2 linked regions of the Stegostoma tigrinum genome follow. The main gene of each other region encodes a partner of the protein of the gene in region 2 in a complex. Links are inferred from orthologs where the notes say so. Each region holds a gene or a part of one and is shown on either strand. Other genes may lie near its edges. The genes, in order: pnocb and oprl1.

Region 1 (7,488 bases), on a different chromosome or scaffold from region 2:
CAACATTAAAATTCATGAAAAATATTTTTCAATTTAAACTAGGAAAAAAAACATGAGCAATGTGGTCTCTTTGACAACTGATAATGGTGCTATTTGCATTGAAAGTGAGGAAATGGCAGACGTGCTGTATAATTACTTCGTGACAGTATTTTCAATAAATGAAGAGGCCAAAATGCCTGACAAAATTAACATAAACAAAATGCTTTAAGGAGTAAAATAATGGCACTAAAGGACCAGATGGTCTCTATTAGAGAGTTCTAAAGAAAATAGGGAAAACCATTGCAGATGCTTGAACCACAATCTTTCAAAGTTCTCCTGATTTGGGAATGGCTCCTTTACATTCAGAAGTGTTAATATTATTACACTATTTAAGATGAATTACAGAGGGAAACTGGGAATTACAATAAGCCTAGTGTCTGTTGTCTGGAACTTGCCACTGTTTATATTAAGAATGGAAGGACTGAACAGGAAAATTTGGCATGGATTTGTAAAAGGTGGATCACGCTGATGGGTCTGATTGGATTTTTCAAAGAAGACCCTAAAGTAGTGGATGGAAAGAGCATTTATGAATTTTATTTATATGAATTTTAAGAAGATATTTAATCAATTCCATAATAAGTGACTTGTCCAAAGTTGAAGATTATGGAATTGAAGGCAATTTATTCACCTAGTTAAGAAATTGCCGAGAGACAGAAGATAGAGGAAGAGGGAGTAAAGAAATGGGCATTTGCCCTATTTGTAGAATGTGATTAGTGATGTCTTCCAAGGAAATGTGTTGGACCCTTCAACTGTTCATAATATCTATTAACTACATGATGATGAGATGGAAAGCCACATATCTATGTTTGTCAAAACACAAAGATAGAGTGCACTGTAAGTAATGAAGATGACAATATAAAATTACAAAGTGATGTTAATCGATTAAGTATCATGGGCAAACTGTTACTGATGGCTATGGGTAAATGTGAGATCATTCTCTTTATACCTAAAAATGTTAGAACAGGCACATTCAGAATGGTGAAAAGTGACAAACAGAAATGGTCCAAAGCAACCATGGAAAGGGGGGACACCTGCCTTGGGTGTTCTCTCAGATCACTGTTGTCATTGCAGGGAAATGTAACATCCATGTTGTGTTCAGCATGATTTCACCAATAGCAATGAAATCAATGAGATATAATCAATTTTTAATTATGTTAGTTGAGAGATAAATGTTCGTAGGAAGAACTCCTCTGCTGATCTTCCAATAGTATCATGGGATTTTTGCATTTCGGTGAACAGAGATATGAGGGCCCTGGTTCAATGTCTCATCTGAAAAAATGGCACAGAATTAGTTAATAAAACTGTACTGTAATCATTATTGCGCTTTTTTGGTATTTAGAATATAAAAGTAAACAATGTGGAAATTAATCCAGAAGAAACTGAGTTGCATTAAAACATTTGTACTTAAACCGATAAGTTCCAGGCTTGGAACCAGTTCTCAAAACTCTGTCCAACATAGATTGTTATTTTATGCATTGAATGACTGCTGGGCTCAATCCATTTATCTCCCCAATGAATTTTATTATTCAACTAGCTGCAAACCATTTCAACTTTCAGAGATCACATTAGAACTGATGCCAAATTTCCTACTTTGTTGAAAATATCACAAAGAAAGAGAGTCTGCAGGAAGGTCACTGTCCCAAGCACTGCCAGCACAATATTACTAAGAGGTTATCACTGTAAGCTGACTGCCATATCATAACCGTAAATGTGTTTTCACTCTTTGTACAAGGCAGTTATGAAGGACATTTCCAATTAGGCTGTTGGTGGAAAGCCAGACCAACGGACCAGGAGTTCATTTTCAGTAGTGCATAGTCTTTCAAATTGTTATTAGTTGAAGTTTAGTGGGAGTTTGTTTAAATGATTGCCATGGTGGGATTAATAATCTTATCCTTCAGACCAATTCTACATGTTCAGTGTACCAAGCATTTTCATGTGGCACTAGATTTATTTTTGAAAACATATTTGGTTACGGCCTCCATCCCTATGTCTCAATTTCTGCCCTTACCAAATATAACTCTATTGAGCCTTGTCTTAAAAGTCCCAGTTGACTCAGCTCGCACTGTTGATGTTATCGACCAGACCTCCACAATAGAAAACAGAAAATGATGAAATTAACTTGCATTTGCTCCACATCTCTCATTGCCCCAGGCTAACAAAAGCTTATCCAGCTTTAGACGTGAAAACTCCAACTCCAAATGGGGGAGATGGTGAAAATGTTTACAGTTTCTATTATTTTCTATGTGGCAAAATGCTTCAGAATTTCATTCTGGAAAGGCCTTACTCAAATTATAATATTGTGCCTTCTAGATTCCCAACCAGAGAAAATACTGTACTCCATATATCATTTAAAATAACTGAATAGATTTCATCTCATCCTTCTAAACTCCACAGAATACAAACCAGGGAATGCAGCCTATATTCAAAATTATCATCAGTAACATCCACAGACTCATTCTATTGTTAACTGTGACACCTGCCCAAACAAAATAACTAATAAGTCAACAACATTGTATTTAGTGTAGCATTATAAAGAAACTTAAAATATACTATTCGGTTGAAGTAACAATTCAATGAATGACGATTGGAAGAGGAGAGAATATTTTTAAATCTGAAGCTCTGGTACTTTATCTGAACGTCTGGTCTTAATTCTTGACCCCGACTACATCTTTCAAATTGCTGTTTCCAGTAGAAACCTTGTCGAAGAGAGCTGATGGGATGTAAAAGTGCAACAGCAAGGTGTAGCCTCGTGGTAAAAACAAATGGTACTTTTTCAACGTGACCTTTCCACCAACGCCGGCACCTCTTTTACTGTTCATATCTCGTCTCTTTATCCAATTTCGATTCTGTAGCCCTCACCGTTCTGGTCTATTTTTCACACCTCTGCTGTCTTTCTTGCCTACCTCTCCCTCTCTCTGCCCACTGCTGTTATCTACATTTGGCAGTTCCCTGGGACGGGACACTGACCCTCAGGTGAGAGCTGTCCAGGACTGAGCAGTATGCACAACGGGGTACATGAGAGGGAGCTGGACCGTGGGACCGGGCTGCCTGCGCACCCAGATACAGGCAACTCGGTAAACACACACACACACACACACACACACACAGAACTCAGAGCCAGATTACACACCCTTTGGTCCACGACCCCGCCTCTCCATTTCTGTCTGTACCTTCTTTGTTACCTCTTTAAACGTTATTCTGCTGTTTCCCTGCGATTTATTTGGGAACTCTGTAGGCTCCCGGTTTCAGTGGCTCATCCCAGCTCCCCCACCACTCCCTGCCCTCCCTGAGGGAGCTCACCCTAGCCCTCCCGGACTCTATAGGGAAGTGAAGGGTTAGTCAAGCTGGGAAATGCGGCTCCATCACCTCCCTCTCAGCGACTCTACAAGGATTGAAGGAAACAGAGAGGGACAGGGACCTGGGGAAAAGCGGGGGCGCGGGCGGAGGGTGAGTGTTAAACAGAAAGGTTATAGATTGTGGGAGGGGGTAGGAGTGGATAAATGAGAGGGATTAAACGAAATAGGAGTTCTGCGGGAATGGAAACCTGGCGAGTTCTCCGCTAAGAGGAAGGAGGAAAAGAAAAAGTTTCCATTAGGAAGAATATCGGTGAAAACAAACCAATAGAGAAGAGAGTTGGCTCAAAGGATGGAGGCAGGGAGAGTGGGAGCAGAAACAGCGCGGAACTGAAAGATGCAGGGAGCCCAGGCTCTCACTCGGAGACAGCAACAAAGTTTAAACCGAACATCTGGTCTTTATCGGGAATGAGAGGGAGACTTGAGTAACTCTCCTACCTGAGAATGTCCGCCAGTGAGAGGGTAACTGTTGTTGCGAGGTCTTCTCTCTCTCTCTCTCTCTCACTCACTCTCTCTCTCTCACACACACACACACACACACACACACACAGCAAGATTCGTCTCCTCAATCCTAAAGCAGAGTTTCACACTGTACTTGTGTTTAACTCCCCTCTTCTGATATACCCTGACTGGACAGACAAACCAGGCAGTCAGCAAGCGAGAGCACACCCCTTCCAGGAAGAGAGATGCATTTGTATAAGCAGCTTCCTGGAACCCCTCACATTGGCTCAGATGACTGACACATCCTCACTCCCTGAGTCACACAGGAACTGTCTCCCGACACTTACCTGTCACTAATCCCCGATATGACCCTGACTGACAGTCAGTAAAACTCGCCCCACAATCATTCTGTGAGAGTCACTGACCCCTCTCCGAGCCCACAGTCACTGATTACCACCAATAATTCCTAACAGTGACTTTGTCACTACCCAACCACCCAAAGTCATTTAGTTAATTACCAACAATTACTGACTGAGTTACTGACTCGGCCAATGACTTCGTCACGAAGTCAGGAAAACTAACAGTAACCTACAACAGTTACAAGCATGTCATCAGGTGGCTACCAGGTTACTCAGATCGCTAACACATCAATCGAACATAAACGTACAATAGTTACCCATTTACTAAATCCTAGCAATAACACTGCACACTCCCTGATCACTTGAGACTCACTCTGTCACTAAAGTGTCACTCCATTACACAGTCCAGGCACTCGGGTCACTAACCAGTCACACCATCACTAACCCAGACAGGCACTCGGGTCAGTAACCTGTCATTTCATCAGTGACACAGACAGGCACTCGGGTCACTAACCTGTCACTGTATCACTAACCCAGACAGGCACTCGGGTCACTAACCTGTCACTCCATCAGTGACACAGACAGGCACTCGGGTCACTAACCTGTCACTCCATCAGTGACACAGACAGGCACTCGGGTCACTAACCTGTCACTCCATCAGTGACACAGACAGGCACTCGGGTCACTAACCTGTCACTCCATCAGTGACACAGACAGGCACTCGAGTCACTAACCTGTCACTCCATCAGTGACACAGACAGGCACTCGGGTCACTAACCTGTCACTGTATCAGTGACACAGACAGGCACTCGGGTCACTAACCTGTCACTCCATCAGTGACACAGACAGGCACTCGGGTCACTAACCTGTCACTCCATCAGTGACACAGACAGGCACTCGGGTCACTAACCTGTCACTCCATCAGTGACACAGACAGGCACTCGGGTCACTAACCTGTCACTCCATCAGTGACACAGACAGGCACTCGGGTCACTAACCTGTCACTCCATCAGTGACACAGACAGGCACTCGGGTCACTAACCTGTCACTCCATCAGTGACACAGACAGGCACTCGAGTCACTAACCTGTCACTCCATCAGTGACACAGACAGGCACTCGAGTCACTAACCTGTCACTCCATCAGTGACACAGACAGGCACTCGGGTCACTAACCTGTCACTCCATCAGTGACACAGACAGGCACTCGGGTCACTAACCTGTCACTTCATCAGTGACACAGACAGGCACTCGAGTCACTAACCTGTCACTCCATCAGTGACACAGACAGGCACTCGGGTCACTAACCTGTCACTCCATCAGTGACACAGACAGGCACTCGAGTCACTAACCTGTCACTCCATCAGTGACACAGACAGGCACTCGGGTCACTAACCTGTCACTCCATCAGTGACACAGACAGGCACTCGAGTCACTAACCTGTCACTCCATCAGTGACACAGACAGGCACTCGGGTCACTAACCTGTCACTCCATCAGTGACACAGACAGGCACTCGAGTCACTAACCTGTCACTCCATCAGTGACACAGACAGGCACTCGGGTCACTAACCTGTCACTCCATCAGTGACACAGACAGGCACTCGAGTCACTAACCTGTCACTCCATCAGTGACACAGACAGGCACTCGAGTCACTAACCTGTCACTCCATCAGTGACACAGACAGGCACTCGGGTCACTAACCTGTCACTCCATCAGTGACACAGACAGGCACTCGAGTCACTAACCTGTCACTCCATCAGTGACACAGACAGGCACTCGAGTCACTAACCTGTCACTCCATCAGTGACACAGACAGGCACTCGGGTCACTAACCTGTCACTCCATCAGTGACACAGACAGGCACTCGAGTCACTAACCTGTCACTCCATCAGTGACACAGACAGGCACTCGAGTCACTAACCTGTCACTCCATCAGTGACACAGACAGGCACTCGAGTCACTAACCTGTCACTCCATCAGTGACACAGACAGGCACTCGGGTCACTAACCTGTCACTGTATCACTAACCCAGACAGGCACTCGAGTCACTAACCTGTCACTCCATCAGTGACACAGACAGGCACTCGAGTCACTAACCTGTCACTCCATCAGTGACACAGACAGGCACTCGGGTCACTAACCTGTCACTCCATCAGTGACACAGACAGGCACTCGAGTCACTAACCTGTCACTCCATCAGTGACACAGACAGGCACTCGAGTCACTAACCTGTCACTCCATCAGTGACACAGACAGGCACTCGGGTCACTAACCTGTCACTGTATCACTAACCCAGACAGGCACTCGGGTCACTAACCTGAACACCATCACAAACCCAGACAGGTTCATGATCCGAGTGCCTGTCTGAGTTAGTGATGCTGTGACACGTTAGTGATGGAGGGACCGGTTACTAACCTGTCACTGTATCACGAAACCAGACAGGTACTCGGGTCACTAATGTGTCACAGCATCACTAACTCAGACTGGCACTCAGGCCACTAGCCTGTCACTGTATCATGAACTCAGGCAGACACTGGGGTCACTCATCTGTCACGACATCACTGACCCAGACAGGCACTCGGGTCACTAACCTGTCACTGTCTCACTAAACCAGACAGGCATTAGTGTCACTAACCTGTCACTGTATTACTCACCCAGACAGGCACTCGGGTCACTGACCTGTCACTGTCTCACTAAACCAGACAGGCATTAGTGTCACTAACCTGTCACTGTATTACTCACCCAGACAGGCACTCGGGTCACTGACCTGTATCTCCGTCACTAACCCAGACAGGCACTCGGGTCACTGACCTGTCTCTGCAACCTTTAGCTCGATCATTAACCCAGACAGGCACCCGGGTCACTAACCTGTCACTGGCTCACTAAATCAGACAGGCATTAGTGTCACTAACCTGTCACTGTATTACTCACCCAGACAGGCACTCGGGTCACTGACCTGTATCTCCGTCACTAACCCAGACAGGCACTCGGGTCACTGACCTGTCTCTGCAACCTTTAGCTCGATCATTAACCCAGACAGGCACCCGGGTCACTAACCTGTCACTGGCTCACTAAATCAGACAGGCATTAGCGTCACTAACCTGTCACTGTATTACTCACCCAGACAGGCACTCGGGTCACTGACCTGTATCTCCGTCACTAACCCAGGCAGGCACTCGGGTCACTAACCTGTCACTCCATCACTAACCCAGGCAGGCATTCGGGCCACTAACCTGTCATTGAATCACTAACCCAGACAGGCACTGAGGTCACTAACCTGTATCTCCATCACTAA
Region 2 (7,488 bases):
ATCCTATCCCTTAGGATTCCCTCCAACAACTTTCCCACCATCAATGTCAGTCTCATCGATGAATACTTCCCTGGCTTTTCCTCATCACCTTTTTTAAATAGAGGCACCACCTTTGCCAAATTCCAGTCTTCTGGCACTTCACCTGTGGCTATGGATGATACAAATATCCCAGCAAGAGGCCCAACAATCACTTGCCTAGCTTCCCACAGAGTTCTAGGATACACCTGATCAGATCCTGGGGATTTATCCAGCTTTATGCATTTTAAGATGTCCAGCACCTCCTCTTCTATAAATGGACATTTTTCAAGATGTCGCTGTCTATATCCCCAAATTCTCATCTTCCATATTCTTCTCGATAGTAAACACTGATCCAAAATACTTGTTTAATATTTCCCCCATCTCCTATTCCACACATAGGCAGCCTTGCTGATCTTTAAGGGGCTGTATTCTCTGCCCATTACCATTTTGTCCTTTTGTTCCTCTACATTGGGGAAACCAAGCGGAGGCTTGGGGACCGCTTTGCAGAACACCTCCGCTCAGTTCGTAACAAACAACTGCACCTCCCAGTCGCAAACCATTTCCACTCCCCCTCCCATTCTCTTGATGACATGTCCATCATGGGCCTCCTGCACTGCCACAATGATGCCACCCGAAGGTTGCAGGAACAGCAACTTATATTCCGCCTGGGAAACCTGCAGCCATATGGTATCAATGTGGACTTCACCAGTTTCAAAATCTCCCCTTCCCCCACTGCATCCCTAAACCAGCCCAGTTCATCCCCTCCCCCCACTGCACCACACAACCAGCCCAGCTCTTCCCCCCCACCCACTGCATCCCAAAACCAGTCCAACCTGTCTCTGCCTCCCTAACCGGTTCTTCCTCTCACCCATCCCTTCCTCCCACCCCAAGCCGCACCCCCAGCTACCTACTAACCTCATCCCACCTCCTTGACCTGTCCGTCTTCCCTGGACTGACCTATCCCCTCCCTACCTCCCCACCTACACCCTCTCCACCTATCTTCTTTACTCTCCATCTTCGGTCCGCCTCCCCCTCTCTCCCTATTTATTCCAGTTCCCTCCCCCCATCCCCCTCTCTGATGAAGGGTCTAGGCCCGAAACGTCAGCTTTTGTGCTCCTGAGATGCTGCTTGGCCTGCTGTGTTCATCCAGCCCCACATTTTATTATCTTGGAATCTCCAGCATCTGCAGTTCCCATTATCTCTGATACCATTTTGTCCTTACTGTATTTGGAGAATTCCTTCAGATTCTCATTAACCCTATTTGCCAAAACTTGCTCAGTTTCCCTTTTTGCCCTCCTGATTTCCCTCTTCAGTATACTCCTAATGTATTTGTACTCTTTTCGGGATTCATTCGATCTCTGCTGTCTATAGATGACATATGCTTCCTTCTTTTTTTTGACCAAAACCTTCATTTCTCTAGTCATTCAGCATTCTCTACACCTAACAACCTTGACTTTCACCCTAGCAGGAACACACTGTCGTAGGACTCACATTATCTCTTTTTTGAAGGCTTCTCATTTTCCAGCCATCCATTTACCTGCGAACATCTGTTGCCAATCAACTTATGAAAGTTTTTGCTTCATACAATCAAAATTGGCCATCATCCAATTTAGAACTTTAACTTTTAGATCTGGTCTATCCTTTCCTATTACTATTTTTAGATGAATAGAATTGTGGTCACTGGGCCCCAAAGTGCCCCCCCACTGACACCGGTCACTTGCCCTGCCTTATTTCCCAAGAGTAGGTCAAGTTTTGAATCAGAAAATTTTCCTGTACACACTTCACAAATTCCTCTCCATAAAGCCCTGAACACTGTCAGTCCCAGTCCATGTTTGGTAAGTTAAAACCCCTACCATAATCATCCTAATATTCTTACAATCAACTGAGATCTCCTTACAAATTGTTTCTTAATTTCCTGCTGACTACTGGGGGTGTCGGGGTTGTGGGGGTGGGGTGCAAGGATTAGTCTATACTACAACCTCAAAAAGATAGTTATCCCTTTCTTACTTCTCAGTTCCACCCAATAACTTCCCTGAACATCTTTTCAGGACTATCCTCCCCAACTACAGCCATAATGTTATCTTAAATCAAAAATGCCACTGCCTCTCCTCTCTTCCCTCCCCTTACTATCCTTCCTATAGCATCTATAGCCTGGAACATTAAGCCGCTAATCTAGTCCATCCCCAAGGTACGTCTCTGTAATTTCTACAATATCCCAATCCCATGTTCCGAGCTATGCACTGAGGTCATCTACCTTACCTGTTAGGCCTCTTCCAATAAAATAAACGCAGTTTAATTCATCAGTCCTACCTCGTTTTCTACTTTGTTCCTGCCTGCCGTGACTGTTTGACTTGCTCCTTTCCCCAACTGTACCAGTCTCAGATTGATCTGCCATTCACGGGACATCATTTTAAAGGGATTTACAGCGAAATGATAAGACAAGAGAGGAATGGCTTTGGAAATTCACTCATTGCTTTGAGATTACAAATGGAGTAGTGGAAAGGGAGTCCTCAACAGTGCACCCTCTGGAGGAGTGCAGTAGCAATGACAGCAAATTAGGGATTTCTGTCATTAAACGTAGTTGCTGTCAGCTCCAATGGAATAATGAATGACTACAAGTATGAGCAGTTTAACCATCATTGTTTCTGCAAGACATCAAAAAATGAATTTCACAATATCTGGTCATGCTGACATAATTCTACAAAACTTAGCTCGAGTGTAGCTTGGAAATGCCTGAAATGGACAATCATTTAATTCTTTGTAGAATTATGCCAGCACGACTAGATCCCATCCTTATTAAAATATTCACATCTTTTACGGAAGGTCAGCAAAGTATCCTGTTTTGAATTAAGTTAAATATCCTTCCCTAAGAAAACAAAACTATTTAACCGTGATGTTACTTAACCATTGTGGTGATTTTCACTCAACTGACTTCATTCAGCTGCAAAATCACAAAAAGCTGAATTATCTTAAGCTTAGGCTCGATGTTTATATTATACATCAGTTATATTTTGATGTTGCAAATTTAAAACTTCTGACTTAAAATGTAATCAAACTAAGTAATTACATGATTGTGACAGAGTTGAACATTTCCAATGTTTTCAAATTTTACTTCTGATTTCCAACATATGCTTTTTTTTCTCTTACTGCTATTGGTTATGGATTCACCAATTAAGAAAAAACTGCCATGGTGAGACTAACTTTATTCTCCCATTCCCCGGTCAGAAAACCCTTTTAGTACCATGTGGGTATGAACATAAAGTCAAATTATTCTTTTCACTTGTGCACCATGATTCATCCTGTGCTGCTTCAATTCATTCTCAGTGTTGTTTGCATATAGCTGTTTATGAGCTAGTGCTTCTGACACAGTGTTTTCATATACTGACGAATGGATCATTCTGTTCTTTCCAATTTTCATGAAATGTGAAGGCAGAGTCTTGGGAGATTGCTTCAATGAAATGTAAGACAGCAGTATTTTCAACATGTGCTATCCATTGAGTTGGTTCGTGCTGGTATTTAGTAGCCCAATGTTAGAATATGGAAAGATTTTGGCACTGGCAGTAAGCTTGGCAGTTTCTCTCATTTTCATATGGTACATTCACTCTGCAGTGTCGTTACTTCCTTCAACTGGCCTATGATTTCTACGCAATGGTTCTGCAATCAGCAGTTATGTTTGTTGCTGATCTTACTCCTTTGGAAGTAAGTGAGTGATATTGACCAACTACAATTCTGAATATTGAGAATGTCAATGATCTAGATGTATGTTTAAAGAATATATTCATATTTATTCACTGGATTTATTGCAAATGTTCACTTTTTATAAGGCCTGTCTGTTTCTACTTAAAAGATAACTCTTCCCTTTGCAAGTTTTGATATTTGTGTAAATACTTTCTTCCCAATAGTGGGGAAACAGGTATCGTTTGTAACATTGTAAAGAACAAACAGGGTGGAATCTTACCAGGCTCTGAGCAGTATGGGTTACAGTGAGGTGTGTAGTAAAATCAGGCAAGATGTTTTGTGAAGTTGATCTGGATGTCAAGATTATTTCATCATAAGAATACTTAAGAATTTAAAAGTGTGAGATTTATGTTTCTCAAGACACTTACTTCAAATTGATGGATGTTGTGCACATACCATGAAAAATGTTTCAACCTGTCCTTGACAGTGCTTACCCAGGGGGATTTAATTGATTGTGTACTGGAGACTTGGTTTAGCCAGTGATGGAACATTATGTTGTCGGAAAATTGATATTTGCAACAATAAATTCATTGCAGAATATAACCATATTAAGCATGATTTATGTCGTATACATCCATGGCAGTAAATATCAGTAATGGTTCAAACCCATGCTCACAAAGGCAATGTGCTGGATGTATGCCATTTCATTCATTTCATTAAAAACGGAGTAAAGCGTCTGTCACATTGTACTATTAGACAAATGGTGAAATGTATTTTATTCTCAGTAGTCACTTTGTGAACTGATAAATTAGTCCATGCAGTTCTAAGCACAGCAACAAAAAAAAATCAGTTTCAGGGCTTCCACTGGTCTACTTTTAAACTTTATCCTAGGAGCCACGGGAAAATTGCAGAGACCTGTATGTGTTTTGTTTCTATAGGTTCTGGTAGTTTCCATTGTGCCTTTGAGGCAGAATTTCTACGTGCTGTGTTGGTGTAAGAGATTACATCTTTTTTTAAATTTTAGACTATGGTCTGAAAATGAGAGAAAAGGATATTTTTCTTTAAAAAAGGAGAATATACGAAGAGTTGTTTGCAGCATGGAAAAACAAATGAAGCTAACTGATGCATGTGAAATAATGTTATTTCTCAGCGACATTAAGTCCAGACAAATTGGCACAATTTTTTAATAGACTCAGGAAAAGCTCAGCATAACAATAACCCACTGATTGATAAGGCGGCAGTGCAACACGGACCCTGTGAGAGGGATTAACAAAGTGTTTCCGGGAGACCACCAAAAGTTGGCTGCATCAATCATTTTCTCTTATCTTTCTTGCAAAGCTGTTCTTGCCAATTTTCTGCTGAAAGAGCAGAAAAATTACCTTAGAGCTCAGAAAGAAATTGTTCTATAATACTAAGATTATCAGAATGACTCTTGGTCCAACCAAGTGAACTACAGACTGAGCATGTTGTTGCAGATAATGTTGAAAAATCATTTAAAAATGAAAAGGATTGTGAAACCAGCCAACTTGGTTTGTGATTTAGATTGGTGTAACAGAATTGCTTTCTCCTGACTACTACTTCTCCTCTCTACTTTTGCTATTCATATTTTTTTTGTTCCTTTGTGTTTGGAAGTTTTAAAAGGGGTAAAGTTTAAGTTCCACAAATTAGAAACCTTGAACTTTTCCTGTTCTTGTTAAAGTTAAAATTATGATGATAATTGACATTATGCTTATTGTTACTGAAGCAAGCAGGTATGATTCGTTTTTATCCTGGTAGCCGTCAGTTGGAGACAAATTGAAATATTTGATAGTTTCATTTAATCTTTGCATTTATGATAAGTTTGGGAATAGTGGGGGTTAACTTCAAATGTACTAACCCAGTGAATCATGATGGTGGAGATAGAGATCATTCACTGAGTTAATCCTATCCCTTAGGTTCATTTTGCACCGAGTATCAGTATGTCTACAATGGTTAGTAGTCCAAGTAAATTGAAGCATAGTTGGGTTAGCACATACTTGCCAATGGAAAAGATCCTGAATCATGCTAAAACAATTAGCATGAAAGAGGGCAAAAATAATAATGAATGCTTAAATTGCAACCTCAGTATCCCCTCTGCAATCCTTGTGACTCTGTCATTAGAAATGATGTTGCCGGGTAACCCAGTAGCTTTGCTGAGTGCCCTATGCTGTGGCACTCAACAAATGCAGCAGATGGAAAGCCCTGGCTAGCCCAGCCTACTGTTCAAGGGGTGGAGATGGTAATTCATCGTTCGCAAGACTCTGAAATCCACAGGTTGATCAATATGATTGACATGAAGGTCAGTAAAGGAAGGAAAAACACATTTACATTCACATGATAATTTTAATGACTTCAGAATATCTCAAGGTGTTAACAATTTTGCTTTGAAGTGACTTGTTATAACATGAAAACCTGACCACCAGTTTACGCACAGCAAGCTCCTTTGAACAGTAATGAGATAAATGACTGAGATAACAAAGTGTGGAGCTAGATGAACACAGCAGGCCAAGCAGCATCTTAGGAGCAGGAAAGCTGACATTTCGGGCCTCGACCCGATTTCTGATGAAGGGTCTAGGCCCAAAACATCAGCTTTCCTGCTCCTATGATGTTGCTTGGCCTGCTGTGCTCGTTCATCTTTACACCTTGTTATCTTGGATTCTTCAGCATCTGCAGTTCCTATTATCTTAGATAAATGACTGGCTAATGTTTTTTAATGATGTTGGTTGAGAAAAGAAATCACCATTTTCATTAACCTAAAGATTTCTTTCTGGCCTTAACTGTGCTGACACAACAACAGAATGCTAATAAGAGCCATATTTCATGAATTTTAGCAATTAGGCAGAAAATCAAAATATTAATCAGCATGGCACAGTGGCTAACACTGCAGCCTCACAGCGCTAGGGACCTGGGTTCGATTCCAGCCTCGGGTGGCTGTCTGTGCAGAGTTTGTACATTCTCCCTGTGTCTGCGTATGTTTCCTCCGGGTGCTCTGATTTCCTCCCACAGTCCAAAGATGTGCACGCTAGGTGGATTGATCATGCTAAATTGCCCATAGTGTTCAGTGGTGTGTGGGTTATAGGGGGTGGGTCTGTGTGGGATGCTCCAAGGGGAAGTGTGGACTTGTTGGACCAAAGGGCCTGTTTCCACACTGTAAGGAATCTAATCTAATCCACTTCTGCATCTTTGTCAATGGCTTGAGCATATGTTCCTTAATGTAAAGCCAACTGATTGTTGATATTCTCTGTACTAATGCAAAAGTATCACAAAATTTCATAGAATCTGGGGTTTGAATATTTGTTCAGCAGTTAGAAATGCAAATAGAATTTATACTGCATTGTTCACATCAATCAATGTTTTAGGGAGAGAGCTCAGCTGAACACCTGAATATAAAAGTAAGTTGTTGTGCAAGTAATAATAGTGAAAAAAAACACAAGAAGAACTGGTGATTTGGATTGATTATTTACTGTTTAGTCAATAACTAAAATGTAATTTTTTTAATACTTACTGTTATTAAAGGAGAACGGGACGAGCCTAGTGATAAAAAGTAGGGCCCCTCTGATTTGGTGTTTCTGGAATACAACACAACCTACCTGCCAAAAACTGGAGTGTGAATATTTTCACTGGCATTTTTGTCAGGATTAATGTTCACAAATGTCTAATTATGATGAGGCCTACCAGATTTATGTAAATGAGAAATTGACATTTGGGAACTGAAACCCCTATACTACACTTGACATGCAGCAGTGAAGACATAGGATCAGATGTATGTATAAA

What was found.
Region 1: the proteins of oprl1 (region 2) and pnocb are in contact, whole or in part, in a cryo-EM structure (PDB 8F7X), measured with the Homo sapiens proteins. The link is inferred for Stegostoma tigrinum from reciprocal best matches to the Homo sapiens genes OPRL1 and PNOC. Residues at the interface, in NP_000904.1 of Homo sapiens: Gln107, Asp110, Gly114, Phe115, Trp116, Val126, Ile127, Asp130, Tyr131, Met134, Gln192, Glu194, Ile198, Glu199, Cys200, Leu201, Val202, Ile219, Val279, Gln280, Val283, Gln286, Gln291, Pro292, Ser293, Val298, Leu301, Arg302, Thr305, Tyr309; in NP_006219.1 of Homo sapiens: Phe130, Gly131, Gly132, Phe133, Thr134, Gly135, Ala136, Arg137, Lys138, Ser139, Ala140, Arg141, Lys142, Leu143.

What each region holds. Positions count from the first base shown.
Region 1 is NC_081357.1:98,742,321-98,749,808, forward strand, and holds the start of pnocb (prepronociceptin b), read right to left. Parts: upstream 4,204-7,488; 5' UTR 4,181-4,203; intron 4,123-4,180; exon of another isoform or gene 3,831-4,122; intron 1-3,830.
Region 2 is NC_081372.1:27,783,786-27,791,273, forward strand, and holds the start of oprl1 (nociceptin receptor), read left to right. Parts: upstream 1-3,414; 5' UTR 3,415-3,434; coding exon 3,435-3,478; intron 3,479-7,488.